4 linked regions of the Elephas maximus indicus genome follow. The protein of the gene in region 3 interacts with the protein of the main gene of each other region in a pairwise test. Links are inferred from orthologs where the notes say so. Each region holds a gene or a part of one and is shown on either strand. Other genes may lie near its edges.

Region 1 (7,435 bases), on a different chromosome or scaffold from region 3:
CCAGATTCAGCTGCTGCCTTGGGCCACGTTTACAAGCCTGACTTAATGAAATATGCTGTTTATGTTAAACGTGGTGATGTTTGGCAAATCAGGTTTCTCCACTCGAAAAATGTTAATTTTATAATTACTGAGATTCAATGATGCAGCTTGTAACAAAATTTTGTTCACTGGGAGCACTGAGTCATATATTAAACTCACTGATGCATTCAGATACGTAATAATTGCTACAGAAATCATTAGCAAGGACGTTCGTTCATAATTTTTTAGAAGAAAGTCCTCACGCAGGGACCAGGGTAGAAAAAGAAAAATAGAAAAAGCTTAGATCCTAGCTCTGTCCGCTGAGACGGCCTAGATGCAGTAACACCCCACAGTAATGAGGAAAAAAAAAAAGTTTAGAATACTTGTAGGACAGAAATTAATAAAAGAAACTTAACAGAGCTGTGTAAAAGTTGAAGCCCTGGTGGTGCAATGGTTAAGAGCTATGGCTGCTAAACAAAAAAAAGTTCAGCAGTTGGAATCCACCGGCTGCTCCTTGGAAACCCTATGGGGCGTTTCTACTCTGTCCTATAGGGTTGCTATGAATTGGAATCAACTCAACAGCAACGGATTTTTACGAGTATAAAAGTTTTATTGAAGAACAATGGGGGCCAACTTAACATAAAAAAAAAAAAAAATGGAGATCAGAAATTTCTAGTGGCACCAAACGTCATGATTGTTCTCCCGTTTTAGCAGTGCCCAGTGTCACAGAAAACAGTGATCTGCATTTATGTTGGATTAGGGAGTTTCAGGTGTAGGAATGAAGAAGAATAAGAACCCAAGAGTCCACAACTAATCTTCGATGGTCAATAATGAAGATAGATAAATGTAACTAGAGAAAAAAAATCACACACATAACTGTGGTAGCCAGCCTCTAATATGGTGCTCAGTGACCCCTCCCCCTTGGTATTCCCTCCTGTATTGAGCCCCCCTCACATTGTACCAGGATTGATCTGTGTGGCCAATAGCATACAGCAGAAGTAATGGTTGTTTCTTCTGAGATTGTTATAAAAGATAGTGGCATACAACTTGGGCGCTCCCTCCCTTGCTTGCTCTCTGTCTTGGATCTTTCACTCTAGAGGAAGCCACCTGCCATGTTGTAATGATACTCAGGCAGCCTATGAAAAAGCTCACCTGGCAAGAAATGGAGGCCTCTACTCAACAACCAGTGAAAAACTGAGGCCTGCCAAAACCACATGAGTGAGCTTGGAAGCAGATTCCCCAGCCCTAGTCAGGCTTTGAGATGACTACAGTCCTGGCCATCAGCTTGACTGTGACCTCTTGAGAGAACCTGAGACAGAACCACCTAACAAATATGCATTTCCAAATTCTTGACCCACAGAAGCTGCTAAATTTATGGTAATTTTTTTTTTTTTTTTAATAGCAATAGATGGCTAATATAAACATGGAAACTGCGGACTGGGGGAAAGGAAGTCCCTTGCCTAAAAATATTACAAGCCTGAGTTTCGAAGCTTTGATTGAATTTTCATAGAACTCGGAATGGTGTAGGAGTCCCTGGGTGGCACAGATACTTAAGTGCTTGATTACTAACTGAAAGGCTGGCAGTTTGAACTCACCCAGAGTTGCCTTGCTATCTACTTCCAAAAAATCACAGCTTTGAAAACCCTATGGAGTACAGCTCTACTCTGACACTTGTGGGATCACCATGAGTCAGAATCAACTCAACCGCAACTGGTTTAGGAATGATATGTGTGACTCAAAATGGCAAAAGAAAAAAAAAGGGGGCAACGCTGTTTCTTACTCCAAAAATTGTAGACTGAGATGGGGGGAGGGGACAGAGGGGAGAGACACACAAAATGGACTAACATTGACCTGGGACATAATGTGCATTACGAAAGAAGTGACTCTACTTATTATAGGCTCCACTTAGGAAAATGCTTTTTTCCTTCCTTATGACCTCATGTGAAGCTACAATGAGACAACACCCTTAAGGGTCTTAGAAGCCCATTTGTCTAGCTGAGGTTCTACTAGACATTATCTTAAACTTTTCATAGATCTTAACAAGGAGTCTTAAGAGTCCCTCGGTGGTACAAGGGGTTAAACTGCTCAGCTGGTACAAAAGGTTGAAGGTTCAAGTCCATCCAGAAGTGCCTCAGAAGAGAGGCCTGGTGATCTGATTCCAAAAAAAAAACAGCATTGAAAACCATATGGAGCACAGTTCTACTCTGACACACAAAGGGTCGCCGTGAGTGGGAATGACTGGACTGCAGCTTTTTTTTTCTAAACAAGGGATCTTGTAGGCACCCCTGATTTGGTCTTTACACTTTCTTACCTTGAAATTTTTTTGCCTTATAGAAAATCTAGGAGTGAGAAAGTGTGGTATTTTTCAACCCAGCAAGCCCTGGGTAGTCCATACTTCCTCTTTATTCTGCTTGCAAGGAGAATAGCTCCTTCTTTAGGTCATCTCTCTTTTACAATACCTTTTCATATTCAGCTAAAAGAAGCCATTTGGCACCTTCAATATTCTCATTAGCCAGTTCCAGTTTTATTCCAAGTTATAGCAGGTGACATTTTCACTCATGTTTTCACTACTATATGGTGGCACCTTTTGCCCTTTTCCCAGCCTTCATAGCAATTTTCCTCACTATTCTTCCAGCCTCCATTAGTAGTCTTCTTGCTTCCTTTCTAGCCTGAGTCTGCTGCCTGATCCAAACCCAATGCTTTAAATTTGTGTGGCAACAGCACCCACATTTCTGTTTCAGTTATCTATTGCTGCGTAACAAACCAGCCTATTATTGTTTAGGAACTTCAAATAATAATTTTTTTTTCTCCTGATTCTACAGGTTGGCATTCTGAATGGTTCTGTGGGCCCCATCTGGGCTCTGGGCTGCTGATCTTGTAGCTGCATTCAAGTCGAAGCCAGGCTGGACTCGAAGATCCAAGATGGTCTTGCTCGCATATCTGAGACCATAGTGCCGGCTGTTGCCTGGGGAACATTGGTCTTCCATGTGGTCTGTCATTCTTCAGTAGGCTAGCCTGTGTGTCAGGGTGTCATCACAGCATCATGGTCAAGGCTGACCCAGATTCCAGACAGTGGAGACTCATTTCTTGAAGTGAGCGGCAAGGACATAGTACATAGGGATAGGACACAGAGAAGCATGATTTATTCAAGGAGCCCTAGTGGCACAGTGGTTAAGTGCTCAGCTGATAACTGAAAAGGTCAACAGCTTGAAGCCACTAGCCACTCCACAAGAGAAGGTGTGGCAGGCTACTTCCGTAAAGATTTACAGCCTTGGAAGCCCCATGGGGCGGTTCTACTGTGTCCTGTGGTGTTACTGTGAGTCGGAATTAACTTAACAGAAATGGGTAACCTTGTCATGTATTGAATTGTGTCCCCCAAAAATATCTGTCAACTTGACTAGGTCATGATTCCGTTGTATGATTGTCTACCATTTTATCTTCTGATGTAATTTCCTTATGTGTTGTAAATCCTGTCACTATGATGTAATAAGATGGATCAGTGGCAGTTATGCTGATGAAGTCTACAAGATTAGGTGGTGTCTTTAAGTCAATCTCTTTTGAGATATAAAAGAGAGAAGTGAGCAGAAAGATGTGGGAACCTCACGCCACCAAGAGGGCAGTGCCAGGAGCAGAGCGCATCCTTTGGACCTGAGGTTTTTGCGCTGGGATGCTCCCGGACCAGGGGAGGACTGATGACAAGGACCTGCCTCCAGAGCTGACAGAGAGAGAGGGCCTTCCCCTGGAGCTGACGCCCTGGATTTGGACTTCTAGTCTACTGGACTGTGAGAGAGTAGGCTTCCCTTTGTTGAAGCCATCCACTTGTGATATTTCTGTTATAGCAGCACTAGATGACTAAGACACCCCTTCAGCCCTATGCTAAATAGGCTGCTGCTGCACCTGCCATTATTGAGAAGTTGGCCACACAGCTCCCAGCCTGAAAACAACACTGGCTCTGCTGAGATTCAAGTCAGATAAATGAACACATATATGCCCATAACAACAGGGAAGCTGGAAGCTCTGTCTGATTCTTCACTGAGATGCAAGGATTTATACCATGGACGACTATCAAGATACAGAGAAAGTGTTCAAAAGATTCAGAGTACACAAATGACAAATGTATGTCACCTACCAAACCCTTTAGTAAAGTTTAAAAACATATTTTAACCTTAAGTGGTGGTGTTGCAGAGAATGAAGGAATAGGGCACTAAATAAAAGTGAAGTTTATCAATCTACTGGTGCCCAAGCAGAGGAAATTACATGCTATTTAAAGCCTGTGCCCAAGAAGACTACCAGCAAAATGAGTGGTAGGTCAATGATTGTACAACTCGAAGAATGTAATCAGTGTCACTAAATTGTACATGTAGAAACTGTTGAATTGGTTTATGTTTTACTGTGTATATTCTCAACAACAACAACAAAATAACATTTAGAAGGAAAAAAATTGAATGGTGGGTCTATGTACAACTGAAGCAGCTAAGAGAATGCAAGCTCCAGACTAAAGAAAGATAATCTGTACCCAAAAACAGGCAAAAGTAATCTGCAATGAAAGAAATCCACAGTGCTTGCCTTTGGAGGTATGAAGGATATTGACTTAATGGAGCATGAGGGAACTTTCTCAAGTGCTGGAAGTCTCCTATGTCTTGTTTTAGGTTGGTAGCCATATGGGTGGATACAATTATCAAATTTCATTGAACTGAGCACTTAAGATTTGTATATTTTGTTGTTTGTAAATTAGACATCTATTAAATAATAAAGAACAAAGAAAAAAATAAACCTCTAAAGAGTATTCTGTTCTTATTTCTTAAAAGCAATAGTTGTAGTATCAGCATTCTGAACTCTTTCAGTCAATGTTAAATAAAACATTATCATCCTAACATCATCTTCTCCCAACCCAAGAACCTACACGTGGTGCAGGAATAAATGAAAAAGATGATGAATCACCAGAGAAAAGCTATTTTTTTAAAAAAATGTAATCAGTTTGCATAAAATCATCTCTGACTCAAATGCAGGGATAGAAGGAAGGAGTTCCATTTTCTCACTAACAACAAAATAAACCTAAGATTTGTCAACTGCCGGATAGAACATAACACTATTTTTCTCAAACCTTTTTATATTAAAACAAAATTCAAAGTTACATAGCACGCAGAAGGTCTTTAAAAGGTTCTAAAAATAAAATGAGAATAAAAAAAATTTTTTTTTTAATATCTTCAAGGAATGATGTTTTATATTAGTGAAAGTTAAAAATGACTCACGCGAAAAAACTTAACAATTTCTTTTCTTTCTTCCTTTCATTTTCACCCTTCCTCTTTATCACTGTCCTCATAATTCTTGACTTCCTCAACATAAGATATTGTTGTCTATTATTTAAGGTATAGCTTTGGTGGCAGTAAAACAAAACAAAGTAATCAAACAACAACAACAAAAAGTACTAAGAGTGAATTGAACAAAATAGCAGTTAAAGTTAACTTCTCTCCCACATTACATTCTAAGCATAAAAAAAGCATAAGGGTGTGGCAACTCCACAGTGTCAAGGATCCTGACTTCCTATCACATTGCTCTGCAATCTCTGTGGTGCCTCTTTCACCCACATTTTCATCTCTACGTTCCAGAATTTGCATTCACCTATTCCTTCTTTTATTCCTTACGTTCTATCAGCCAGAAATTAGTCACAGCCATCCCTAGATGTAGGAGTGAAATCTATCACTTGGCAAGCCTCATGCCCACCCAAACATTTCATCATTAAGAAGAGTGGGAGATTTCCCTGGAGCAAAGGAGAACAAAGAACACTGAAGACTCAAGGAAGCAATTAGTCCAAAGGTCTAATGGCCCACAGGAACCACAGCCTCCTCTGACCTGAGACCAGGAGAACTAGATGATGACTGGCTACCACCAACAACCACTCTGACCTGGATCACATAGAATGTCCCAGTTAGAATGCGTAAAAAATGTAGAACAAAATTTAAAAAAAAAAAGAAAAAAAGACCAGACTTATTGGTCTAGAACAGACTGGAGGAACCCAAGAGACTTTTGCCTTAAAACACCTTCCAGCTTGGAACTGAAGATACTCCCAGAAGCCACCTTTCAGCCAAATAATGTTGTTGTTAGGTACTGTCATTAGGTGTTATTAGGTGCTATGAGTCAGTTCCTACTCATAGCGACCCTATGTAGAACAGAGCAAATCATTGCCTGGTCCTGCGCCATCTCACAATCATTGCTATGTTCCAGCCCATGGTTGCAGTCATTGTGTCAATCCATCTCGTTGGGGGTCTTTCTCTTTTTTGCTGACCCCCCTACTTTACCAAGCATGATGTCCTTCTCCAGGGACTGATCCCTCCTGTTAACAAAAGTACATGAGACAGATTCTCACCATCCTCCCTTCTAAGGAGCATTCTGGCTGTACTTCTTTCAAGACAAATTTGTTCATTCTTCTGGCAGTCCATGGTATATTCAATATTCTTCACCACTACCATAATTCAAAGGCATCAGTTTTTCTTTGGTCTTCCTTACTCAATGTCCATTTTTTGCATGATATATGAGGTGATTAAAAAATACTATGGCTTGGGTCAGGTTCACCTTAGTCTTCAAGGTGACGTCTTTGCTTTTTAACATTTTAAAGATATTTTTTGCAGCAGATTTGCCCAATGCAATGCATCGTTTGATTTCCTGACTGCTGCTTCCATGGGCGTTGATTATGGAGTCAAGTAAAGTGAAATCTTTGACAACTTCAATATTTTTTCTGTTCATCATGATGTTGTTTATTGGTCCAGTTGTGAGGATTTTTTGTTTTCTTTATGTTGAGGTGTAATCCGTACTGAAGGTTGTAGTCTTCAATCTTCATCAGTAAGTGCTCATGTCCTCTTCACTTTCAGCAACCAAGGTTTTGTCATCTACATATTGCAGGTTGCTAATGGGTCTTCCTCCAACCTTGATACCACATTCTTCTTCATATAGACACCAGTAAAGAATGTGCCTCTTAGAACAATCAACTATATGAGACCAAAAGGGCAACATTTGACCAAAGTCAAAGATGAGAAGGCTGGGAGGGAGAGGGAAATGGGGATCCCAGGGAGGAAATGGGAATTGTACTGACACATTGCAGGGACTGTAATTAATGTAAGGGAAAAATTTGTATAAGAATCTTTGATTGGAAAACTAGTTTTCTATGTAAACGTTCACCTAAAGCATAATGTTGTGTTCTAAATAAGTAAAAATAACAGGAGAACAGATGTGTTATCTTGTGTTGTTGTCGATTCTGACTCATGGCAACCTCACGTATTACAGAGTAGAACTGCTCCACAGACTTTTCTTGGCAGTAATCTTTACAGAAGCTAATTATTCTGCAGAAACCTTTTATTCTGCAGTGCTGTTGGATGGGTTTGAACTTCCAACTTTTCAGTTACCAGCCAAATGCAAACCA
Region 2 (7,583 bases), on a different chromosome or scaffold from region 3:
ACCGGGGTATAGATGAATAACCTGACTTTTAATAAATGTATCTGTAATAATTATAGTAAAACCTGCAAAAGCTGGAGCCTGTGTAAGGCACAAACCTGTCGGAGAAGGAAAATTAAAATATTTTCCACTAAAACGAGGTATAGAGAAGCGCTAAGACTGCACCTGGTCAAAGGCAGAACACTTGCAAGACCCAGAAAAACAAGGCAGTCCTGCTGAGTTCCAGCTCTCACAGGTTTCACTGTACCACGTTTGTGTTTCTAAATAAGAAATCCAGAGGTAGTACAAGATTTACACGTCTTTATGTTGTGTCTCAGGTATTTATTGTCTCCATTCCCTTCACATGCTGTCAATTTTTTAAAACCTTTTTTTCTGATACATGTACTACATATGTATTTTGGAAAAATGAAAATAAAAAAAGCCAAGATAAACAAGACTAATTACCACATAGAAATAAAACATTCTGTTTTTTATATTTTCATACTTTTCTTCTATTCATATATATGTATATACTATAAATACGCAAGCTTTTAAATGAGATTATCTATAGGCTGCTTTTTAAACTGCTTTATTAACTTTACAATATATAACAAACATCTTTCCATGCAAATTGATGAAACTCCCCTGCTGACAGATAAGCTAACAGACCAGGTCAAAATGAAATCTCCAGTCAGAAAATGACAGAACACCAAAAGGTTCACATTAAGGGTACATCAAGAAAATTTAAGTTTGAGAAGCAGGAGGTTTATGATTATTAGCCTCATGATTCAAGGCATAAGGCAAAACTCATCATGATGGTCATGGTGAGGAGGGTCCCCTATAAGAATGCGCAGGCTGTACCTCAGCTGCAGCTCCCTAATTTTCCTCCTTAACTCTCTCATCTCCTCCATGAACCGTTCCATATCATCTGCATCACCATCGATCAAATCAATGTTATTGACAAGCCTATTGGGCACATCCCCTCTAAACTCCTGCGCAGGTGGAGCCTGGCCTCCTCTGATATTTCCTGCAGGCTCCTCGCCTTCAACCCCTTCCAAAGGGCGGGCTTCCTCTCCATTCTGCATGGGGACCTGCTCCCTCCCTTCATTTTCCTGGGGGACGTTTTCCATGTTGAGATTTTTTTCCCTGCTTCTTCTTCCTAGGAGAAAAAAAGCAAGAAAAGGAATCGAATGCTTGATAACAACAGGTTTCAGAGCTCTGGCTGGTAAAGGTTTTCCCACCTGATTTTGTGAGCCCTTTAGGGGGCTCCCCAAACCCACCCTCTCCCTTCCCCACTCCAAATCCACCATTTTCCCTGCAAATCCTTCCCCTGGCCCCTCCAGGCACCAAAATGGAGGACGGCCGGTGGGCGGGGCAGTAGCGAGAGACTAGGTCTCAGCTTCCTGGGATACAGATCTGCCCTCCAGGGGCATCCCAGACCTTGCCCCACTACTCCCTTCTTCACCCCTCACTGGCCCACCACTCTGGCAGGGAGGGCTGTGAGTACCCCAGATTCTGTTCTGATCTGATACCCACATACAACAGGGCCCCAGGCAGCCCCTTACCTGCAGGGATCTAAGGCAGGCTTCTCTTAGCCTTGAGATCTGCCACGCCAACGGACCTAAGACCTGCAGACAGAAATGAGAAAATGGCCGGCCGGCACTGCCCACTTGATCAAAAGACCAGTATGGGGGCACCAGCTCCGTTGTTGATTTAGGGCTCTCCTTATCAAGTGTTGCCACCTTCTGGTTCTCCACCATCCTGTCTCAGGGCTTCCTTTCCTGTCCTGTGATGTGCTATCTCTCTCTCCAGAAATACCCATCATAATCAAAGATGATTATTTTTAAACCATTTTAACCTCTTCCTTAGGCACCTTATCCCCGCTGTCTCGTCACACTCATCACCTAATTACCATTTCTTGCACGCAAATGGGCAACATGCGAGGCAAGGAAGTCAGGAGAGCTTGCTGAGTGGAAACGTGGTTTATTAAAAAAAAATTCAATCTGGGTATCCGCCAGGCCCGTCTGGGACCCACGCCCTCTCTAGAGCCTACCCCCTGCCACTACCCACCATTTTATGCATCAAGATGGACGAAGGGCGGGTGTCACAGTGTGGGACTGTGAGCATTGCAAACCAGGACCCACTGCGGTCTCTGAGTTTTGTCATTCTTACCCCAAGGTCTGCAAGCCGCGCCCACGCCTACACCGACCTGGAGGGATCAGAAACAGTTTCTAGCTCCCCGCCTCTTTCCCTCAGTCAGAAGCTCACCTGCTCAACCGCCTCCTCTGCAATACGGAGGGATACAGGAGGGGTTCAGGGACCGAGCCCTTGTCCCCCTCCTCTGCAGTACCCCCTTCAGGCCCCCGTAGTCCACCATTTCTGGCTCCAAAATGCACCGAGGTTTGAGAGGAGATGCCGGGAATGCAGACCTGGACCCTCTGCGGGGTCCGCCGTCCCCTCCCTCTGCCCTTCCGCTCCGCTGGACACCGCCTGCCAGCTCGCCTGCCTCCCCGAAAATCCGAGCTGCTTCCTATTCCCAACCTGGCCGCTCCGGATCTCCTCCCCACGAATCCTTCATTTCTTACACCAAACGGATGGGCGTAGGGGAAAGAGGTCGAGAGAATCCAGTCCTGGACCCGCTCTGGTTTTGCCCTCCGCCACGCCAGTCAGAGCCCACCAACCTGCAACAATCGGGGTCAGCTTTTACCTCTTCCTCCTTCTCTGGACTGCAGGCCACAGAAGATGACCACACCGCAACTGGAAGGAGAGACTTCTCCACTCCTTGACTGTGGGTCTCTTAAGGGCCACGTCACTGTGAGCTCAGATCTCCAATTACAGTTCACACCTGCAGTGCGGCAGGAGGGTGGAGGCAGGAGCGTGGGCGGGGCCACCTTTCTCCTTATTCCCGCCTTCCCCTTCACAACCACAGGCTACTGCCCCCCGCCTTTTTTTTTTTAATCCTATTTAGTAATGCCAGAGACCAATAGGGTCATAATATTTTCTAGTTTGTGTTTGCCTTTCCCTTTATTTCTGCTGGAGTTTTTGAAGGTTTGCTTCTTCTTCTAACCCTTAAAAGCCCACTTCTCTCATCTCCACTCCCAAGCTAGTAAAGTCCAGCATTTCTCCTAACAATTTTGTCCCAGACAAGAAGTGGGGGGAGATGGGAGGGAGAGGAGTTGTAAAGCTAGAAAGTCTGCAAGATAGGTAGGAGGTGGCTTTTTTTTTTTTTTTTTAACTTTCACCTTAATTATTTTCCTCTGTGTTAATTTCTATAAGACGACATGGTTGTTTTTGTTTTGTTTTCCACCGGAATGCATTCTTATTCTTATTTTCTGGCTGCTATAATTAAATAACCAAAACAAAAACCAAACCCATTGCCATGGAGTCGGTTCTGACTCATAGCCACCCTACAGGACAGAGTAGAACTGCCCGATAGGGTTCCCAAGGAGTCGCTGGTGTATTCCAACTGCCGACCTTTTGGATAGCAGCCAAACGCTCTAACTGAAATATGTTGTTCTTGTTGTTGTTAGGTGCCATCCAGTCGGTTCAGACTCATAGCGACCCTATGTACAACAGAACAAAACACTCTCCGTCCTGCGCCATCCTCACAATCGTTATGTTTAAGCTCATTGTTGCAGCCACTGTGTCAATACATCTTGTTGAGGGTCTCCCTCTTTTTCGCTGACCCTCTACCTTACCAAGCATGTTCAGGGACTGAACCCTCCTGATAACATGTCCAAAGTATGGGAGACATAATCTCACCATCCTTGCTTCCAAAGAGCATTCTGGTTGCACTTCTTATTTATTTGTTCTTTTGGCAGTCCATGGTATATTCAACATTCTTCGCCAACACCAAAATTCAAAGGCATCAATTCTTCCTCGGTCTTCCTTATTCATTGTCCAGCTTTCACATCCATAGGAGGCTATCGAAAACACCATTGCTTGGGTCAGGTGCACCTTAGTCTTCAAAGTGATATCTTTGCTTTTTAAGACTTTAAAGAGGTCCTTTGCAGCAGATTTGCCTAAAGCAATGCATCTTTTGATTTCTTGACTGCGGCTTCCATGGGCATTGACTGTGGATCCAAAAAAGATGAAATCCTTAACAACTTTAATCTTTTCTCCGTTTATCGTGATGTTGCTTATTGGTCCAGTTGTGAGGATTTAATGTTCTTTATGTTGAGCTATAATCCATATTGAAGGCTGTAGTCTTTGATCTTCATCAGTGAGTGCTTCAAGTCCTCTTCACTTTCAACAAACAAGGTTGTATCATCTTCATAATGCAGGTTGTTAATGAGTCTTCCTCCAATCCTGATGCCCCGTTCTTCTTCATATAGTCCAGCTTCTTGGATTATTTGCTCAGCACACAGATTGAATAAGTATGGTGAAAGGATAAAGCCCTGACGCACACCTTTCTTGGCTTTAAACTGTGTAGTATCCCCTTGTTCTGTTCGAACGACTGCCTCTTGATCCACGTACATATTCTTCATGAGCACAATGAAGTGTTCTGGAATTCCCATTCTTCCCAATGTTATCCATAATTTGTTATGATCCACACAGTCGAATGCCTTTGCATAGTCAATAAAACACAGGTAAACATCTTTCTGGTATTCTCTGCTTTCAGCCAGGATCCATCTGACATCAGTGATAATATCCCTCTTTCCACGTCTTCTTCTGAATTCGGCTTGAATTTCTGGCAGTTCCCTGTTGATATGCTGCTGCAGCCACTTTTGAACGATCTTCAGCAAAATTTTACTTGCATATGATGTTAATGATATTGTTCAAGAATTTCCGCATTGAGTTGGATCACCTTTCTTGGGAATAGGCATAAATATGCATCTCTTTCAGTCAGTTGGCCAGGTAGCTATCTTCCAAATTTCTTGGTATAGATGAGTGGGGACTTCCAGAGCTGCATCCATTTGTTGAAACATCTCAATTGGTGTTCCGTCAATTCCTGGAGGTTTATTTTTCGCCAATGCCTTCAGTGTGGCTTGGACTTCTTCCTTCAATACAATCGGTTCTTGATCATATGCTACCTCCTGAAATGAACGTTCACCATTTTGTTTTGGTATAGTGACTCTGTGTATTCCTTCCATCTTCTTTTGATGCTTCGTACATTATTGGATATTTTCCCCGTAGAATCCTTCAGTATTGCAACTCAAGGCTTGAATTTTTTCTTCAGTTCTTTCAGCTTGAGAAATGCCTAGTGTGTTCTTCCCTTCTGGTTTTCTATTTCCAGGTCTTTGCACATGTCATTATAATACTTTGTCTTCTCCAGCCACCCTTTGAAATCTTCTGTTCAGCTCTTTTACTTCCTTATTTCTTCCTTTCGCTTTAACTACTCGACATTCAAGAGCAAGTTTCAGAGTCTCTTCTGACATGCATTTAGGTCTTTTCTTTCTTTCCTGTCTTTTTAATGACTTTTTGCTTTCTTCATGTATGATGTCCTCGATGTCATTCCACAACTCGTCTGGTCATTGGTGTTCAATGTGTGAAATCTGTTTTTGAGATGGTCTCTAAATTCAGGCAGGATATACTCAAGGTCGTACTTTTGCTCTCGTGGACTTGCTCTGATTTTCTTCAGCTACAACTTGAACTTGCATATGAGCAACTGAGGGCCTGTTCTGCAGTCACCCCAGCCTTGTTCTGACTGACGATATTGAGCTTTTCCATCATCTCATTCCACAGATTTAGTCGATTTGATTCCTGTGTATTCCATCTGGCAAGGGCCACATGTATAGTCACTGTTTATGTTGGTGAAAAAATGTATTTGCAATGAAGAAGTCACTGGTCTTGCAAAATTCTATCATGCAATCTCTGCCATCATTTATATCACCAAGGCCATATTTTCCAACTACCAATTCTTCTTTGTTTCCAACTTTTGCGTTCCAGTCACCAGTAATTATCAATGCATCCTGATTGCATGTTCGATCAATTTCAGACTGCGGAAGTTGGTAAAAATCTTCAATTTCTTCATCTTTGGCCTTAGTGGATGGTGCGTAAATTTGAATAATAGTCATATTAACTGGTCTTCTTGGAGGTGTATGGATATTATCCTATCACTGACAGTGTTGTACTTCAGGATAGATCTTGAAATGTTCTTTTTGACAATGAATTCTGAAATATATACCCTCCAAAAAAAACTCCTCTTAAGAACATAGAAATATAAACTTAAGTAGGTGGTTCCCCTTGTGAAGGGTCCCTGTTTGTGCAATCCTTCCATAAGGAGATCCACTGAGTCTAATTAGAGTCTTGCTGGTAGATTTTCAGATCTTGAGAGCCAATGGCAAACTGATGGTCTTCCCTAAATTGTATTAAGGCAACTTCACAATAGAGCACTGAAATCTCTCATCAATTCCAAACAATAATTTGGGAAGTTATGCTGACATATAAAAAGTATTGTGAAGTATTGTGAAGCTATGATAATGATAAAAGGAGAAATTATTGAAGTTGTAAAGGATTTCATTTTACTTGGATCCACAATCCAAGTCCATGGAAGCAGCACTCAAGAAATTAAATGACACATTGCATTGGCCAAATCTGCTGCAAAAGACCTCTTTAAAGTCTGAAAAAGCAAAGATGTCATTTTAAGGACTAAGGTGTGCCTCACCCAAACCATGGTATTTCCAATCACTTCATATGTATATGAAAGCTGGAAAGTGAGTAAGGAAGACTGAAGCAGAACAGATGCCTTTGAATTATGGCATTGGCGAAGAATATTGAATATACCATGGACTGCCAAAAGAACGAACAAATCTGTTTTGGAAGAAGTACAGCCAGAATGCTCCTTAAAAGCAAGAATGGGGAAACCTCGTCTCCCATACTTTGGACATGTTATCAGGAGGGACCAGTCTCTGGAGAAGGACATCATGCTTGGTAAAGTATAGGGTCAGCAAAAAAGAGGAAGACCCTTAACGAGATGGGCTGACAGAGTGGCTGCAACAATTGGCTCAAGCATACCAATGGTTGTGAGGATGGTGCAGGACCTGGCAGTGTTTTGTTCTATTGTGCATAGGGTTGCTATGAGCCAGAACTGACTCAATGGCACCTAACAACAACAATATTAAAACAATATTGTACCAGAATAAATATAGAAGAAATAAAAGATGAGAAAGCTGATTGACAGACCCAAGTATGGAGAAATGCTATTAAACTGACTGAATTATTTTGAGTTAAATTATTGAAGAAATGGTGCTGGAATAATTAGTTAACTATTGGAAAAATTAAAAAATCTCTTGTTCCTGTCATATGTTAAAAGATAGACAAAAATGTTTAAATAAAAAAACCTAAAACCATTAAAAATAGAATATAACAAATGTTACTCTGTATATAAGGAGCAGAAACCCTGGTGGTGTAGTGGTTAAGTGCTACAGCTGCTAACCAAGAGGTCGGTGGTTCAAATCCTCCAGATGCTCCTTGGAAACTCTAGGGGGCAGTTCTACTCTGTCCTATAGGGTTGCTATGAGTTGGAATCGACTCGACGGCAGTGAGTTTGGTTTTTTTTTTTTTGATTTTTATATAAGGAGCACTGCTAGTGCAATGTTTAAGCGCTCAGCCGCTAACTGAAAGGTCGTGGTTCAAACCCACCCAGCAGCTCCGCAGAAGAAAAT
Region 3 (7,369 bases):
TGGCTATTACTGGGCAGCGCTCCCCACAACACCGCTGGGACAAACAAGAGGCTCCATGGCAAGCTTGTTGGGGCTGTAGTGGGTTAGTTAGTCAGCCAGGATGCCAATAAGCACAGTTATTGCTATCTCCCTGGCAGGGAAACAGCCCATCCGGAGTGCCTGGAACACACGCAAGGGAAAGCAAGCAACAGGGACTGCTGCATTCTGGGACCTGCAGTCACCAAAGGCCAGAGGGGCCTGGGACATGTTGCAGTGCATGCTAGGACTTGTAGTCTCAACTGTCTATCCCCAAGGACCAAGTTTCTCAATGGAATCCCCCTTCCTCCCACAGCTGTTCCCAATGAGGAAGCATCTTGGTCACAAGTGGGCGCATGTGAGCACTATTCTGTCTCTCTCTCTCTCTCTCTCTCACACACACACACACCACACACACACACCACACACACACACACACACACACACAGAGAATCTCAGGGATCTCATCAGCTCCCTTCTCTCCCTTTCCTTCCCCTGACTTAGAGCAGTCTGGGGTTTTCCTCAGCAACCCGGCCCCACATTTTCCACCTAGGATGGTCTCCCACTTCTCTCCCCAGCAGCTCCCTACTCACCTTCTCCCCCTAGCCCACTGAGGTGGCTGCCTGCACTGGAGCCAGAGAGGTTGGGGCGGGCAGGCCGGGGCCGAGGGCGTGGTGTGGTAGAAGCGGGGCCCAGCGCTGGGGCAGGACCCTCACCACAATCATCGCCCCCGTACCCCTGACAGCACCGCCACTCCATATCCGACACTGTCTTGTAGGCCACACGGTATCGAGGGCGGAGGAAGCTTCGGTACCTGGGAGAGGTGGAGGGAGGCCTCTTTATTTCCTCCTTGTCCTATCAGTGGCCCTGGCCCCTGTCCTCAGAGATGAGCAGCTGGGTCCCCCTTAGTGTCTAGCATGTGGCCTTGCTCAGTTGACAGCTGTCAGCTTGTTGGCCAAGGGCCAAATCACTGCTCTTACTCTCCTTGCCCTGTGCTGGAACTTTGAACTCCTCTCCTTGAGGATGGCCCCAGCCCACAGAAGGCATTTGGGGGTTGGCACGTGGTCTAGGTGGGGTTGCCCTCGGTATCCCACCAGCCAAACTTGCCATAGCATCTCCTCAAAATGGCTCTGACTGTGGCTGCCTAGTCTTGCCCCTTGCTGCCTGCTTGCTTTGTACGAATTCCCTGAGTTGGCCACCAATATTTTGGCCTTTGGTCAGCCCCCACCAAGTGCCCACTGGCCCAGTCCATGCCCCAGCAGAGGGAGCTCACATGATACTGCGGGGACATTGGGGCTGGCCCCAGCCACACGGCTGATAGTCGGGCTTGACGAAGGTCTCCACTCCATCCTCAAGGACACAGCTCACTGTCCGGGTCACCACATAGGCACACCAGTTCCTGTAGACACAACCCCACCTGGGCCCAAGGACCAGAGACACATGCCCCAGAGGAGGCCCCAGGGACTACCAGCGGGACTGAGTGACATCAGAAAATGAAGGGCCCTGGGCAACCAGCGAGAGCCAGGGCTTTGGCAGGGGCAGCTCTCCCATGCTTTCCTGTGCACCAGGAGCAGATAAAGACTTTTCAAGATGGGAGAGGCCCAAAATGGAAAAGCACAACCAGAGAAGTCAGTACTCATGGCTGTGGGGACCTGCAGAGCCTCTGAATTCACACCCTTATTTGTGTCCATTTCTGGCCCATTCTCAAGTCTTATCTTGGCATGCCCTGTGCGAGCCGGATGGCCAGGTCCCTGGGGATGATCCCCTGGATGCTGGCATCCACCGGTGCCTCAGGGGAGAAGACATGGAGCAGGCCATGATCCAGTTCAAGGTTAAGTAGAGAATAAGCTATTGATGAACCCTGCCTCCCTTGAGGCTAGCAGTTCCACACACTTGCCCCATTCATGCTGGCCTTTGATCTGTGTCCTGCTCGGGAGCAAGAGTGGTGTCAGACTTACAGATTACTGGATGGGGCCAAGGAAGCCCTAGAAAGGACAAAACATCTGCTCAAGGATCCTGGGCTGGCACTCACCAGGCAGCTGTCAGGAAGGCCTGGCCACACCCCTACGGGTGGCTTCCCTGGGCACCAAACTACAGGTCCCCCTGGGGGGATGTGGGCGCTGATCCCCCTCAGGTTACCCGGGAGCCAATCAGTGCAGGGGGCCCTGGAAACAGACCTCTGGGAAGGTGGGCATTTGAGGAGCTACCTGATGGATAAGCTTTCCTCTCTCCCCCCTTCCCTACACCTGGGGAGACAGCCCAGGGCAGGGTAGCCAACGCGGTGGCAGCATGTCCACCTTCCAACCAGCCAACCCATCCACCTCCAGCCTGGGGCTGGGCCTCCTCTTACCTGTGTCTGCTTGCAGGCCGCGGGGCATTCTGGGCTTGGGGCGCCCCGGGGCTGAGGGCCCTGCCGCCCCCCGTATAGAGGCTGTAGCCACGAGGAGGGTGGCTAGCTGCCCCCGCGGAGGCGGTCAGCAGGCAGCAGAGGTAGCAGCTCCAGAGGGCGCTGGGGGCCATGGTTGGGGCGCTCCTTGGTAGCTCTCAGTGGCACATCCCGGCCTGGCAGCTGGCACCACTGCCCGGCCCTGGGGGATGCCGCGGCTCGGCAGGACAGAGCTCGCTGTCCCCGTCCCAGGCTTCCTGCCTGCGGCCCCCACACCGTCTCTTCCTTGGCTGCCTGGCCTGACCCCTCTCCCCCTCCTCTTTCCTCCTCAGGCTCCCGTCTGTCCCTCCCTTGGTTCCTTCCGCTCTCCTCTTCTCCACTTCTGAGGGGAGTTTGTTCTCTGTGCCCCTGGCCTCCTGTGCCTGGTCCCTGCCCCTCTCAGATGCTGCTTCCTGGGCCTCCGCCCCCTAGCCCCAGCTGGCTCTTCTCTGGTCTCCCTGTCCTTTTCCCCTGATGACCAGATCCTGGGGGTGACAGGGCTTTGCCCCTGTGGCTGTTCAGAGGCACAAGGGGTGGCTGTGGGGCGGGCCCTGGCCTCCTGCCTCCCTCCCTTGCTCACTCCCCTCCCTTCCCCCTTGTCTGGCTGGCGATCCAGCCTCCCCCTTCCCCTCCCACCTCTCCAACCATCGTGCGCCACATCTGCTTCTTGTTAACTCAGGGAAAGAGGGGGAAAAAAAAGGAAAAACAGAGAAATGTGGAGTTGCCACTGGGCTTGGGGCCAGCCTCTCAGATGGGCCACATGGAGCCGGGGCCAGAGCTGGGGAGGAGGCCCAGGGCTGGTCCATAGACAGGCAACAGGAGCCAGAACCACAGCTCTCCTGGGGCTAGGGCAGGCCTCGCCTGGGAGAGGGGCCCAGCGGGGAGAGAAGGACTGTAGAGGAGAGAATGAACTTGCAGGGCTCAGGACATCATTCACCAGCTTGTCCATCTGATTCCTTTTATAGATGTGAAAATTGACACCAGAGTAGGGAAGTGATTTGTCCAAGGTAGTACAGCAATTCAAGAGTAGGGCTGAGATTAGAATCTAAAAACCCAGGCCATTGTCCTGGGAAAAAGGAGGAGAGGGGAGAGAGGCCCTGGGCCAGGGAGGAAAAGGAAGAAAGGACTCCACTGAGGCAGGCAGGAAATTCAGAGAACACAGAAGAGGAAGACAGGAATCTGGAGATGGGAGGAGGGCAGTCTTCTGTCCAACAGTGGAAAGGACACAGGCAACAGGAGAATCTCCTTCTTCAAGGACCAAATGACTATGGGTCCAGGCTGGCCATGGTGAGGACGGTCAGGTCATAACTGGGGGTGGGGTGAATTGGGACTTATCTGTACAGCACCAAAGGAAGCCACTCCCTACCTGGAGACAAATCTGATAGCCTCTGTAGCAGATACGGTCCTCAGTCACATTCAGCCATTAGCCTGATCTCAAAGCTCCTTGTGAGGTACCTGAGTCTGTAAGCTTGGTCCTCCTTCACCATCTATCTATTCCTCAGTGCTGTGTCCTGGACCAGGATCTCCCTGTGTGGTGGGAGGCTTAAGAGAGAGAAGCTGGAGCTCTAGACAGAAAGGAGAAAGAGAGCACTGTATGCCAGGCGCTATGCACTGTAGAAGTGCCCAGATAGCAGAGGCATAGAAGACTCAGTCACTGTCCGCTAAGGAGTGACTCGGGCTCTCACGGGGAATGGGACACAAACACCGATACAGAGAACTAACGCAAGGCAGGATACACTGAGTGCCAAGGAGGGCAGGGCAAATGGATGATTAAGTGTTCTGGGTAAGAGGGGTAAGGTAGCTGGATGCTAGGGGTAATCAGAGTAGAGCTGTTGGAACAGAGAGGACCTGACGAGCATTGGAAAAAAGAAAGTGAAGAACAGAGAGGAGGGGAGGGAGAGATTTCAGGCTCAGGCAGTGGACTACCTCAGTTTCCTCATTTGTAGCACCAGGATAATAATAACACATCCCTTTATGGATGTTTGAGGATTATGCAAATTAATATGTGTAAAGCATTTAGAACAGTGCCTGGCACATAATAAATGTTCGATAAATATTAGTTCTTATTTGTGTCAGGAAGAAGTGAGGAAAAAAGTCAGAGAGGTAGATTGTGGACAAATTAGGGTTACAAGTTTTTGAGTAAAAGAATACATTCACGCACAGAAAGAAGAAATTATCAGTAAGAGCAATAAGCAGGGTGCCAACGCACAAGGATACTAGTCCCAGCTCTTCCTCTAACTGTTGTTGTGTTGTTGTTGTTGTTAGACGCGGTTGTGTCAGTTCTGATTCATAGCGACCCCATGCACAACAGAACAAAACACTGCCCAGTCCTGTGCCATCCTCGCAATTGTTTCTATGCTTGAGCCCATTGTTGGAGCCACTGTGTCAATCCACCTCGATGAGGGTCGTCTTCTTTTTCACTGATCCTGTATTTTACCAAGCATGATGTCCTTCTCCAGGGACTGATCCCTCCTGATAATATATTCAAAGTATGTGAGACATAGTCTTGTCATCCTTGCTTCTAAGGAGCATTCTGGCTGTACTTTTTCCAAGCCAGACCTGTTCGTTCTTCTGGCAGTCCATGGTATATTCAATATTCTTCACCAACACCACAATTCAAAGGAGTCAATTCTTCCTGGGTCTTCCTTATTCACTGTCCAGCTTTCACACGCATATGAAATGACTGAAAACACCATGGCTTGGGTCAGGCGCACCTTAGTCCTCAAGGTGACATCTTTGCTATTCAATACTTTAAAGAGGTCTTTTACAGCCAATTTGCCCAATGCGGTTTTTGTTTTGATTTCTTGACTGCTGCTTCCACGGGTGTCGATTATGGATCCAAGTAAAAGGAAACCCTGACAACTTCAATCTTTTCTCCATTTATCATGATGTTGCTCATTGGTCCAGTTGTGAGGATTTTTGTTTTCTTTATGTTGAGGTGCAATCCATACTAAAGGCCGTGGTCTTTGATCTTCATTAGTAAGTGCTTCAAGTCCTCTTCACTTTCAGCAAGCAAGGTTGTGTCATTTGCATAACGCAGGTTGTTAAGGAGTCTTCCTCCAATCCTGATGCCCCATTCTTCTTCAGAGTCCAGCTTCTGAGATTATTTGCTCAGCATACAGATTGAATAGGTATGGTGAAAGGATACAACCCTGACGCACACCTTTCCTGACTTTAAACCATGCAGTATCCCTTTGTTCTGTTCAAATGGCTGCCTCTTGATTCATGTACAGATTCCTCATGAGCACAATTAAGTTGGCCCTCTAACTAGCATTATAAATTTGGGCAAATCCCATGACTCCACTGGGCATCAGTCTTCTTATACAAGGAAGGAGCTCTTAGTTTTCTAAGGTCCCTTGCAAATTCTACATTGCAAGGTGATGCAGACTTGGGCTCTGGTGGTGGCAGTGACCATGGAAAGAATGGGAAGATGGTAACTGCTTGGTGACTGCCTCTGGAATGAGGGTCCAGATGAGGGGAGACACCAGAGAAGATTCCAGGGTTCTAGCCAGGATGGGGAAGTCTGGAAGAGGTGCACGTTTGAAGGAAAGAGAGAGAACTTTAGTTTGGACATAGTGAGTTTAAGATGAGAATAACATATCCCAGAGGAAATAAATGTCTAGGAAAACCCAGTGCCGCCAAGTCGATTCCTGCTCCTAGCGACCCTATAGGACAGAGTAGAACTGCCCCATAGAGTTTCCTTGGGGGGGCCCGGCGGATTCGAACTGCTGACCCTTTGGTTAGCAGCCGTAGCACTTAACCACTATGCCACCAGGGTTTCCAAATGTCTAGGAGGTGGTTAGAAATGTGGGTCTTGATTCGGGGAATCATTTTTACAGGCAATAGTAGGAAGTCATGAGAATGGATGCAACCAGATCTCCGATGTGACTCTGAGTGATCTGCCTCTGAGATCCTATGGCCCAGAATGGGACCCTGATGGCTAGAAGTGTTGGCAAAAAGACAGAATGGTGAAAGTAAAGGCTGGAACCAACAGCAACAAAAATGTGTGGTTGTCCCTTAGAGGTCTTAGACTGGCACACAAGGGGACTTAAGGAAAACGGTCTCAGGAGCTGCCGGTTTCAAAGTTGTCATGGGAAGGTTGCAGCTTCGTCCTTGGTCTCTGCCTCAGTTCTAGGCCCTGGCCACACCCCTGGCAGGAAGCCAGACCACTTCGCCTCCAGATTTTCCCTGACTGTTGCTATGGATTTTCTTTCCCTGCCCTTCTCACTCTTTTCTCCCTTGGCAGCTTGCAAAGACCTCCCTGACATCTTATCACTGCCCAGTTGTCTCCATTCCCTCTCCTGGCCCGTGAAGTTTAAAAATCTGTTGTACATTTTAACTGTGTCAAGTGAAAAATGTTGGCTTTGAAGTACAGTTGCAGTAGGTTGCATTTCGTTTCGTCTTGTAATTAGGAGACAGCCTAAACCTAAGAGCCGACATGAACATTTGTGAGGTATCAAATAAATTAGTTGCTCCAGGTTCATTGGGGAGGATGGTGCCCATTGCCGGCCTCAGGTGTGGGCAATCAGGCTACAATGGAGGTGAAGGTTAGATAGGATATGGTGGTGGTGGTATGGTGGTTTTGGCAGGCAACCAAAAATTTCCAATGCAATTGGCAAAAGAGTTCTTGAGATCAAAACAAGGCTAAGTCTCTGGGGTACTAGAACAGGACCTATTTTATAACCTCTCCAAAACTGGGGATTTCCAAGGGTCTAGTGGCAATGGAACTAGACACACTAGGCAACTAATTCATTCCCTCAACCACCATTGACCGAGCAATGAGTTCATGTTCCCAGGGGCACCAGCAAAAGGGAACATTTTATGCCTAATGCCCTCTGTTAGAGGACTGAATATTGGGAGGAAATAAAAGGGAAGGATAATATGAATTGGGTACCGGGTCAGGCCAACCTGGATGGGAATTCAAGCTTG
Region 4 (7,570 bases), on a different chromosome or scaffold from region 3:
CTCGGGACATTTTGAAAGATAACCAAAAAGAAAGGTGTTTACACTCTAAATGGGGAGAAGAAGAATTCCAAACTTGCTTGCATTTCATGTATTTACCAAGAAGGTATATCAAGACTGAGCTACTCTTGTAAGAATAGGTAAGGTCGCAGGAGTGGGAACAGATCATAGTCCTGGGATGTGGCAGAGTATGTTGCAAAGAACAAAGAGTTCTTTCAGGGAGGTAAAATATTTTATATATGTACACACATATATATATGGTTTTTTAAGTTTTCTGCAGTAAACATTTATTATGATTATAATCAAGAGCACATACTTGAAGCCTAAATTTTGGAGTCACTCAGACCCAAATTTATATGTTGCTTCTGTTATTTAAAACTGTTTGTGACCTTAAGTAAGTTACTTACCCTCTCTGAGCCTGGATTTTTTAACTGATAAAATTAGAGATAATGAGATTTTCACAAAGTGTGGTAAGGAGGATATAAAAAGCTCCCATCACAGTGAGTGGACATGGGCAGCAACTAATAAATATTAATGCTCACCTTCTCCCTACATGACACATGAAATTTTTCTAAAGGAAACTGGTGAGGATATAACAGACCCTTAAAATACTCTTCACATAAAGTCAAACTGATATGGCTCTCATTACCTTGACTGAGGCTGGTCCCTTCCAGTTCAGGTACTGCTCTAGTTCTGTGCCCTTAGCCCGGGCCTTGGAGGAATCAAACACTTTCCTCTTGGAACCCTGCATCCTGCTGCAAACGTTGGAGTGTCTCTCCAGCCTGAGCAAGAGAAACTTGCGTCCACAGTGGCTGCACTCGCCGAGTTTGGGCTCTTCAGAGGAACAGCTGTAGCCTGAGGAGTCTGGTCCCCTGAACAGGCTGGAATTGCTGGTGGATCTCCACAAAGCATTGCCTGGTGCTTCTGAAGGCTGAGAAAATTTCTCTGTTGATGGCCCTGAGACTTGGTCTTGGATTTTGTTATTGCTTGCCATCAGTCTTTCCCTTTTGAGCCTCTGTATCCCATAATCAGGGAACTGGAATGGACTAGAATTTTCTTTCGACTGTCCCCGAGTTTCACTCTCTCTCCTGTCTCTGCTGAACACCTCTTCAGGCCTGAGTTCAGGAGAGAAGACAGGTTTGTACGTGGTGTTGCTAGTATTATCTTTACCTCTCCTCCTGGAGAGTGTCATTCTCTGTAGCTCTCTTTTTTCATTTCCCTCGGCCTGTTCCTTTTCCTTCTGGATTCGTCTGAGTTCCTTCTCCGTCTTCTTCAGCTTTTCCCTCAGGAGGGTCTCCTTTCTTCGGATTTCCCCCTCTAAGCTCTCCCCTGCAGCTTCTAGTCTTTGGATCTGCATCCGCTCAGTCCTGTCAAGCTTTGCCCTGACCCTCTGCCCCTGCATGGCAACAAGAACAGGACCAACCACAGATGAATTCACTTGGTTCCTTGAACCAAAGCTGCTGTATGAAAAGTCTCCTGGCTCAGGGGGCCTTGAAAAGACATTCTGATCCTCATCAGCACCAGTCTCACCTGTACTATGAGACTTCCGGTAGACCACAGGTTTCAGTGGGTATGCCCGGTCTACCCCAACTCGCTTCTTTGTAAAGGGGATGGTGTCTTGGTTATTTGCTTTGGGATGCCAGGATTGAGGGTCTGAGGAGTAAAACAAATCCTTTCCTTGGCCCTGGGAATTGGTTCCTGAATCTTGCTGGCTGATTCCAGCACAGCGGGGATAAGAGTAACTCCCGGCTTTTGTGAGCGTGTTCCATTTGGGGTGAGTGTAGAGACTATCCAGCACCAGCTCTTTGTTGCTCCAAAGCTTCCGCTGAATATTGTCTCTCTGGTGCCCCACTGAGGACCGCTGGGAAGAGTCACTTTGTTCATAAAGGTCTTGCTTGGTTGAGTGGAGCCCTGAAGCTTCCGTTTTATTATATGGGAGCATAACGCCCACAGGCAGATGTGGTGCCAACTGGAGACCAGCCATTCAGGGCCTGGACTGAAGCCTAGGGGAGAGTTAAAACGTGAAGAGTTTGTCTGAGGTTCACTCCAGGCTGCTAAAGTAAACTTCCTACATTTGCCCAACCCACGTTTTCCCTTAAACTTTTTTGGGACAGTGGTGCTGGGTCTGCCAGAGTTCCATCCAATTAGCATTTTGTCAGTGCCTATTATGTGAGCCCCTAAAGATAGAATAACAAATGTGACACGAGTGTTGCCTTCCTACCCCTAGCTTTCCTTTCCACCAGGACCAACCTCTGCCATACACAGTGGCTGCTCCTGTCGTACACAGTATTATTCATAGTAGGTGAAAAGAGCATTGGATTGGAAGTCAGGTTTTAGGTCCGTGACCCAGGTTAAGCGACCCGCCCCCTGCGGGCCCCAAGTTTCTTTACCTGTAAACTGAGGGGTTCAGCCAGTTAGAGTTACATGACCGGAGCTTAGGTACCTTAGGAGTTCGAGTCCCGCTCCACCACTTTGCAAATTAGAAAGCGGCGGCCCCGAGTTAAGTGACTGGCATAAAGAGCTGTCCAGTTCCCTCCTGCTGGGACCATAATTGGTTCCAAAGTGCACAGAGGCCGCTCAGGGCCAGGAACCGGCGCCTGGTTGTCAAACCCTCATCCAAGGAGTCCCCGCGGGCAGACAGCGGCGAGAGTGTACCCTGAGAGGTAGAGGCCACCTGACTCTGCCGCGGCTGCGTTTAGATCCAGAAAGCGGAAGTCACGTTCGGTCCTGGGGGGTCAACCGGGCGCCCCCACTGGGGACTCCACTTTCGGGGACAGGCCCTCGCTCCCTGCCCCTGGCGGTTGGGCAGTCAGGACGTCGAGGTGCTGACCCCATGTCTTCCCCTCCCCTCCGCCGTACCTGAGGCTCCGGGGACCGCTCCCGCTCGGAGTAAGCCCCAGGACCTAGTCTACCGGACCGCAGGACCCCTACCGACCGTGCTGCGCAGGCGCCCTCGGCGGGCCTCTGTTACTCCGGTTGCCTGGCGACAGGGGCGTGGAGCGCTCGGAGCCCCGCCTCCCGCCGGGAACGCCGCCAAGGAAGCGCGCGCAGGCGCAGTCCGCGCGGTCGGGAGAGGCGGGGGCAGCCAGCGCGCTCAGCCTGTGTCACTGGACCCGGTGTTCTGCCAAGTCTTCAACTCCTTGGGGAGCGGGGGTGGGGGCGGGAGAAGCTTTTCCGGGGCTCTGTCAAAAAAGAACTTGCAGTTTTTCTGAGAACGATGTTCCCAGACCGTGGGGTGTGCCCTTCTCTGGCAAAGGATGTAGCCCCTAGATGTGCCCTGGAGTCATTCTGCTGCCAGATTCCGGTGTCCACCCACTTGGCTGGAGCAGGCCTTCTAATAGTCTTTCTCAGCACTCTCGGCTGTTGTGCACAGGCCCCAGGTATGGCTGTATTACTATCTCTCGTGCTTTTCCTCGCCGATAGGTTTGAGCTTGCAGTCAAATTGTAGCAACTTGGCTAGGTTTTGCTACGCAGTATCTTTTCAGAAGAGTTTTTGTGGCCAATTTAATTATTTTGATTTTACGATGTGTTCTTTTCACGTTGTCACTCTGGCCTGGTCTTCTTAAGGACCCAGAAATGACTAAGCCAAATGTAATGATAACAAAGTTAACTGCCAGATTGAAAATAATCATTATAACCTGGTTTCAACAGTAAACGATACTGTATAAATTGCTAACATCAGAAGAGAGTTTATTTGTCTTCTTCACACTTCACTTCACTTGTGTAAGCTGTTTGGAACAGACATCTGACTTTTTTCTTGTAACTACTCAAAAGATTCCTGCACATGGAAAATGATGTAGACAGCAGCAGTCAGTGTTAATACTACAGCATGTCATATTACAGCCTTCACGTGTTACAAAGAAATTCCTTGGTGGGCCCTCCAGGGCAATCCTTTTATCCCTTGTATTCATTACTAGTTGACTCTTTACTGCCAACGTATGTGCAGTTCCAGGCGTTTTCTATACTTCTCACGGTCCCAATCATCTTAATTAAGAGTGGGCCCTTCCTGCCTGTCGTCTCCCACTGCTTCCCTCCGCCCTGGCAGAATTTCCCAGCATGCCTTCCTCCATCCTGACTTCCTTTCCTCTGTTTCTGACAAGGAAGGGTCTCGCTTTTCAGGAGTTCTCTTGAATTAATCCCTTCCAGGGCCTTCCACGACTTGACTCCATTACTTTAACTTCGTGTTAACCCCAAGTTACACCTCTCCACATACTCCTTTTCTTTGGCTTTAAAAATACGCTTAACCGCCCCCTGCTAAACAAACCTCATTTCTCTTGATCTGCCGTTTCTCATGTTAGGGTCCATTTATTTCTCTTCTTCTCCACAAGACCCCTTAATAGAAAACTCTACCTTTGCTGCACCGGCTTTGACATCTCTCCTTCATTGTCCAGTCCATTGTGGTCTGGCTTCCATCCTTTCCACTTTAACCAGCGGCCTTCCAATGACCAAAGACAAAAGTTTCTATTTCTTCAACCTACTCATTTGATATTATTGATTACTTATCCCTTTGAAACACTTTTCTTACTTGCCTCTGTGCCCTCTCAATTTCTTCTCCCATGTCCTCTCTCCATTTTCTTCTAGGTTTCTGGCATTATGTCTTACCCCACCTGCCTCCTAAATTTAGGTTTTCTCCAAAGCCCTCTTATTTCTTAATAGTCTGTTCTTTAATAATCTCAGCAAAACGTTGAGATTTCAGCTCTCACCTCTGTTTAGATGATATCCAGCTCTAGGCCTCAGTCTATCTACTTAGTTCTAGACTTAATTTCCAACAGCCAGTTTAGCATCTCCAAGTGAATGCTTCTCAGGAACCTTGTTATAGATTGAATTGTGTCCCCCCACCAAATATGTGTCATAAATCCTAATCCCTATGCCTGTGATGTAATCCCACTTGGGAATAGGGTTTTCTTTGTTAATAAGGCCATATCAATGTAGGGTGTGTCTTAAGCTGATCACTTCTGAGATATAAAAGGAGCAGTTTAGACATAGAAACAAAGAAGCACAAATTGGGAAAGATGGATGTCACCCCATATGAAGATCCCCAAGGAACTGAGGAACAGAAGCTGAAAAGAGACAAGGGCCTTCCCCCCAGAGTGGACAGAGAGACAGCCTTCCCCTAGAGCTGGTGCCCTGAATTTGGACTTCTAGTCTCCTAAACTGTGAGAAAATAAAGTTCCATTCTTTAAAACCACCCACTGGTGGTATTTTTGTTATAGCAGCACTAAGAAACTAAGACAAACCATGAACTAAATATGACAGAAAACAAATTTATGATCATCTTCCCATTCCCAATGTACTTCTCCCATTTCCTGTCCTGCTCAGAGCGTCAGTAATCTTCCACTCCTCCCTCTTTGTCACCCCTTCCTTCTAACTCATCGGGAGGTTTTGTTGACTTTACCTCTGCAGTGTTTCTCATATATGATCCTCCTTTACATTTTTATGTCCTAAGTGAGCTCTTCCTCACTTCTCATCTGGACAATACCACCCTGCAATGTCCCCAACTCATACTTCATGCTGTTGCCAGAATAATCATCCAAAATACTCAGGATCCTATCATTTTTCTCCACATTGGCTCCTTTACCTGTAGAATAAAGTTGTAATTAGCATGGCATTCCAACCTCCCAGAATAGGTCCACCTGATTTTCCAGCCTTACCTCCTCTTAATAAATACCAGAGTTTAGTCCAGTGGTTCTCACCCCTGGCTGCACTTTGGGACTACCTGGAAAGCAGTACCTGGTAATGAGGCCTGGGCATTGGTATTTTTAGAAACTTCCCCAAAGGGCCTACTGAGCAGCTATGGTTGAGAGCCTCTAGTGGTAATCTGCTTGCACTCTCTCACCTCAGTGGTAATATCTTACCACAGCTCCTAGTACTGGGAGGTGGTAGATCATATGATTTATAGAGATAGGTTCCAGACTCAGACTGCCTCGGGCTAAATCCCAGCTCCACCACTTACAGGTTGTGGTTGTGTAACTTTGGATAAAATGCTGCTTCCTCCTAGAAGCCTTTTCAAGCTTTCCAGTCAGAATTAATCTCTTTGCTCCTTTGTGCTTGCATACTATTTTCTGTCCTTGTTATAGCACAAGACAAGCTCATGATGACTCTCAATGGGTGTTCGTGGAATTGAATTACCATGTTGTCCATTGTATTGTCATTATTTGCATGCATATTTGTTCTTTAGACTAAATTAAAAACTCTTTGGAGGCAAAGACTATGCATCATTCATCTTTGTATATCCTCCAGTGTCCTGCACCTTGTAGATACTACGTAAGTTTTTAATTCTATAGAAAAAATTTATTTTAAAAAACAAATTTTAGAAAAAGAAATAACATCGGCCAGGTACTTTGCTTAGCATTGTTTTCAAATATTGCCAAGCATAACATCCTGTCCAGGCCCCTTCCAGCACTCAGGCTTTGTGATTCTTTAGGATCTGGATTCTCACTTTATAGTACAAAGCTGTTGTTGTTAGATGCCATCAAGTCAATTTTGACTCATAGTGACCAGTGCGACAGAATAGAACTGCCCCATAGAGTTTTCTAGGCTGTAATCTTTACAGACACAGATTGCCAGGTCTTTCTCCTGCACACCTGATGGGTGGGCTTGAACTGCCAATCTTTCAGATAGCAGCTGAGGGCTTAACTATAGCACCACCAGGGCTCCTTATAGTGGAAAGCTAGTGGAGTGATGACTCACCAGAGCCTCCATTGGAAGCCTGTCTCACCAAACCAGCCAACCTGGCATATTCACATGTGGAGGGTTATGGTATGAAGGGAGGTAATGTATACAAGCAGTCCAAATAGCAACGAGAAATACCAGCTTTCCTTTATACACAGTATTAATCATAAGGCTAGCTGGACTCAGATGCCTACAACTGGACCCTAATTTTAACCATCCTAACCCACAACCTCCCTAGACAATTCTCTTTTCCAAAAATAAACTCATGCAATTTGATTATTTGCCTTAGATTGTCTGACTCAACTGTGATTCTGGAGCCATGAAGTTATTGTGCTTTCTTTTTTTAGATAAGTGTTATTTGAAATTTTCTTAGTAAATTAGATTATGATGGGCAGCTTCCAGAACACAGAAGAAATAACCCCAAATGGGACCTCTTGTGGAGCCCTGGTGGCTTAGTGGTTAAGAGCTCAGCTGCTAACCAAAAGGTTGGCAGTTCAAATGCACCAGCTGCTCCTTGAAAACTGTGGGGCGGTTCTCCTCTGTCCTATAGGGTCGGTATGAGTTGGAATGGACTCGAAAGCAACGGTTTTGGATTGGTTGGTTTGTTTTGCGGGGAGGACTTTTTGTACATTTGTCTCTCCTGCCAGACCTAGGCATGGCCCCAAATTTGGGGAGGAGTGGAAGAAAAAGTTAGGGCAGAAAGGTTGTAGGTTGTATGTATCCTATTTATTTGTGATGTTTAACCTTTAGAATCTAAGCTCCTCCGGGGCAGGGATCCTGTGTGTTTTGTCCACTTGTGTGTGTCAAGCACCTAGAGCAGTGCCTGGCACACAGTAGTCTCTCAATAAATACTTATTGAATGATTGAATGTATCCTAAGTGCTCCTTCCTGTATGTATTTC

The links.
Region 1: the proteins of EMILIN1 (region 3) and NMI interact in binary tests that used the Homo sapiens proteins (3 or more experiments, as listed by UniProt). The two-hybrid records come from large-scale screens. The link is inferred for Elephas maximus indicus from reciprocal best matches to the Homo sapiens genes EMILIN1 and NMI.
Region 2: the proteins of EMILIN1 (region 3) and protein BEX5-like interact in binary tests that used the Homo sapiens proteins (3 or more experiments, as listed by UniProt). The two-hybrid records come from large-scale screens. The link is inferred for Elephas maximus indicus from reciprocal best matches to the Homo sapiens genes EMILIN1 and BEX5.
Region 4: the proteins of EMILIN1 (region 3) and ZC2HC1C interact in binary tests that used the Homo sapiens proteins (3 or more experiments, as listed by UniProt). The two-hybrid records come from large-scale screens. The link is inferred for Elephas maximus indicus from reciprocal best matches to the Homo sapiens genes EMILIN1 and ZC2HC1C.

What each region holds. Positions count from the first base shown.
Region 1 is NC_064824.1:48,472,115-48,479,549, forward strand, and holds the start of NMI (N-myc-interactor), read right to left. Parts: upstream 3,018-7,435; coding exon 2,839-3,017; intron 1-2,838. UniProt on the Homo sapiens protein: Acts as a signaling pathway regulator involved in innate immune system response.
Region 2 is NC_064846.1:55,282,400-55,289,982, reverse strand, and holds protein BEX5-like, read right to left. Parts: upstream 2,754-7,583; 5' UTR 2,684-2,753; exon of another isoform or gene 2,658-2,683; intron 1,605-2,657; 5' UTR 1,542-1,604; intron 1,136-1,541; 5' UTR 1,107-1,135; coding exon 765-1,106; 3' UTR 511-764; downstream 1-510.
Region 3 is NC_064830.1:45,440,820-45,448,188, reverse strand, and holds the start of EMILIN1 (EMILIN-1), read right to left. Parts: upstream 3,008-7,369; 5' UTR 2,536-3,007; coding exon 2,366-2,535; intron 1,415-2,365; coding exon 1,289-1,414; intron 830-1,288; coding exon 609-829; intron 1-608. UniProt on the Homo sapiens protein: Involved in elastic and collagen fibers formation. It is required for EFEMP2 deposition into the extracellular matrix, and collagen network assembly and cross-linking via protein-lysine 6-oxidase/LOX activity.
Region 4 is NC_064828.1:87,778,002-87,785,571, reverse strand, and holds the start of ZC2HC1C (zinc finger C2HC domain-containing protein 1C), read right to left. Parts: upstream 3,011-7,570; 5' UTR 2,933-3,010; exon of another isoform or gene 2,857-2,932; intron 2,835-2,856; exon of another isoform or gene 2,388-2,834; intron 2,001-2,387; 5' UTR 1,982-2,000; coding exon 647-1,981; intron 1-646. Other genes in the region: DNA mismatch repair protein Mlh3, read left to right, coding at 3,215-3,377.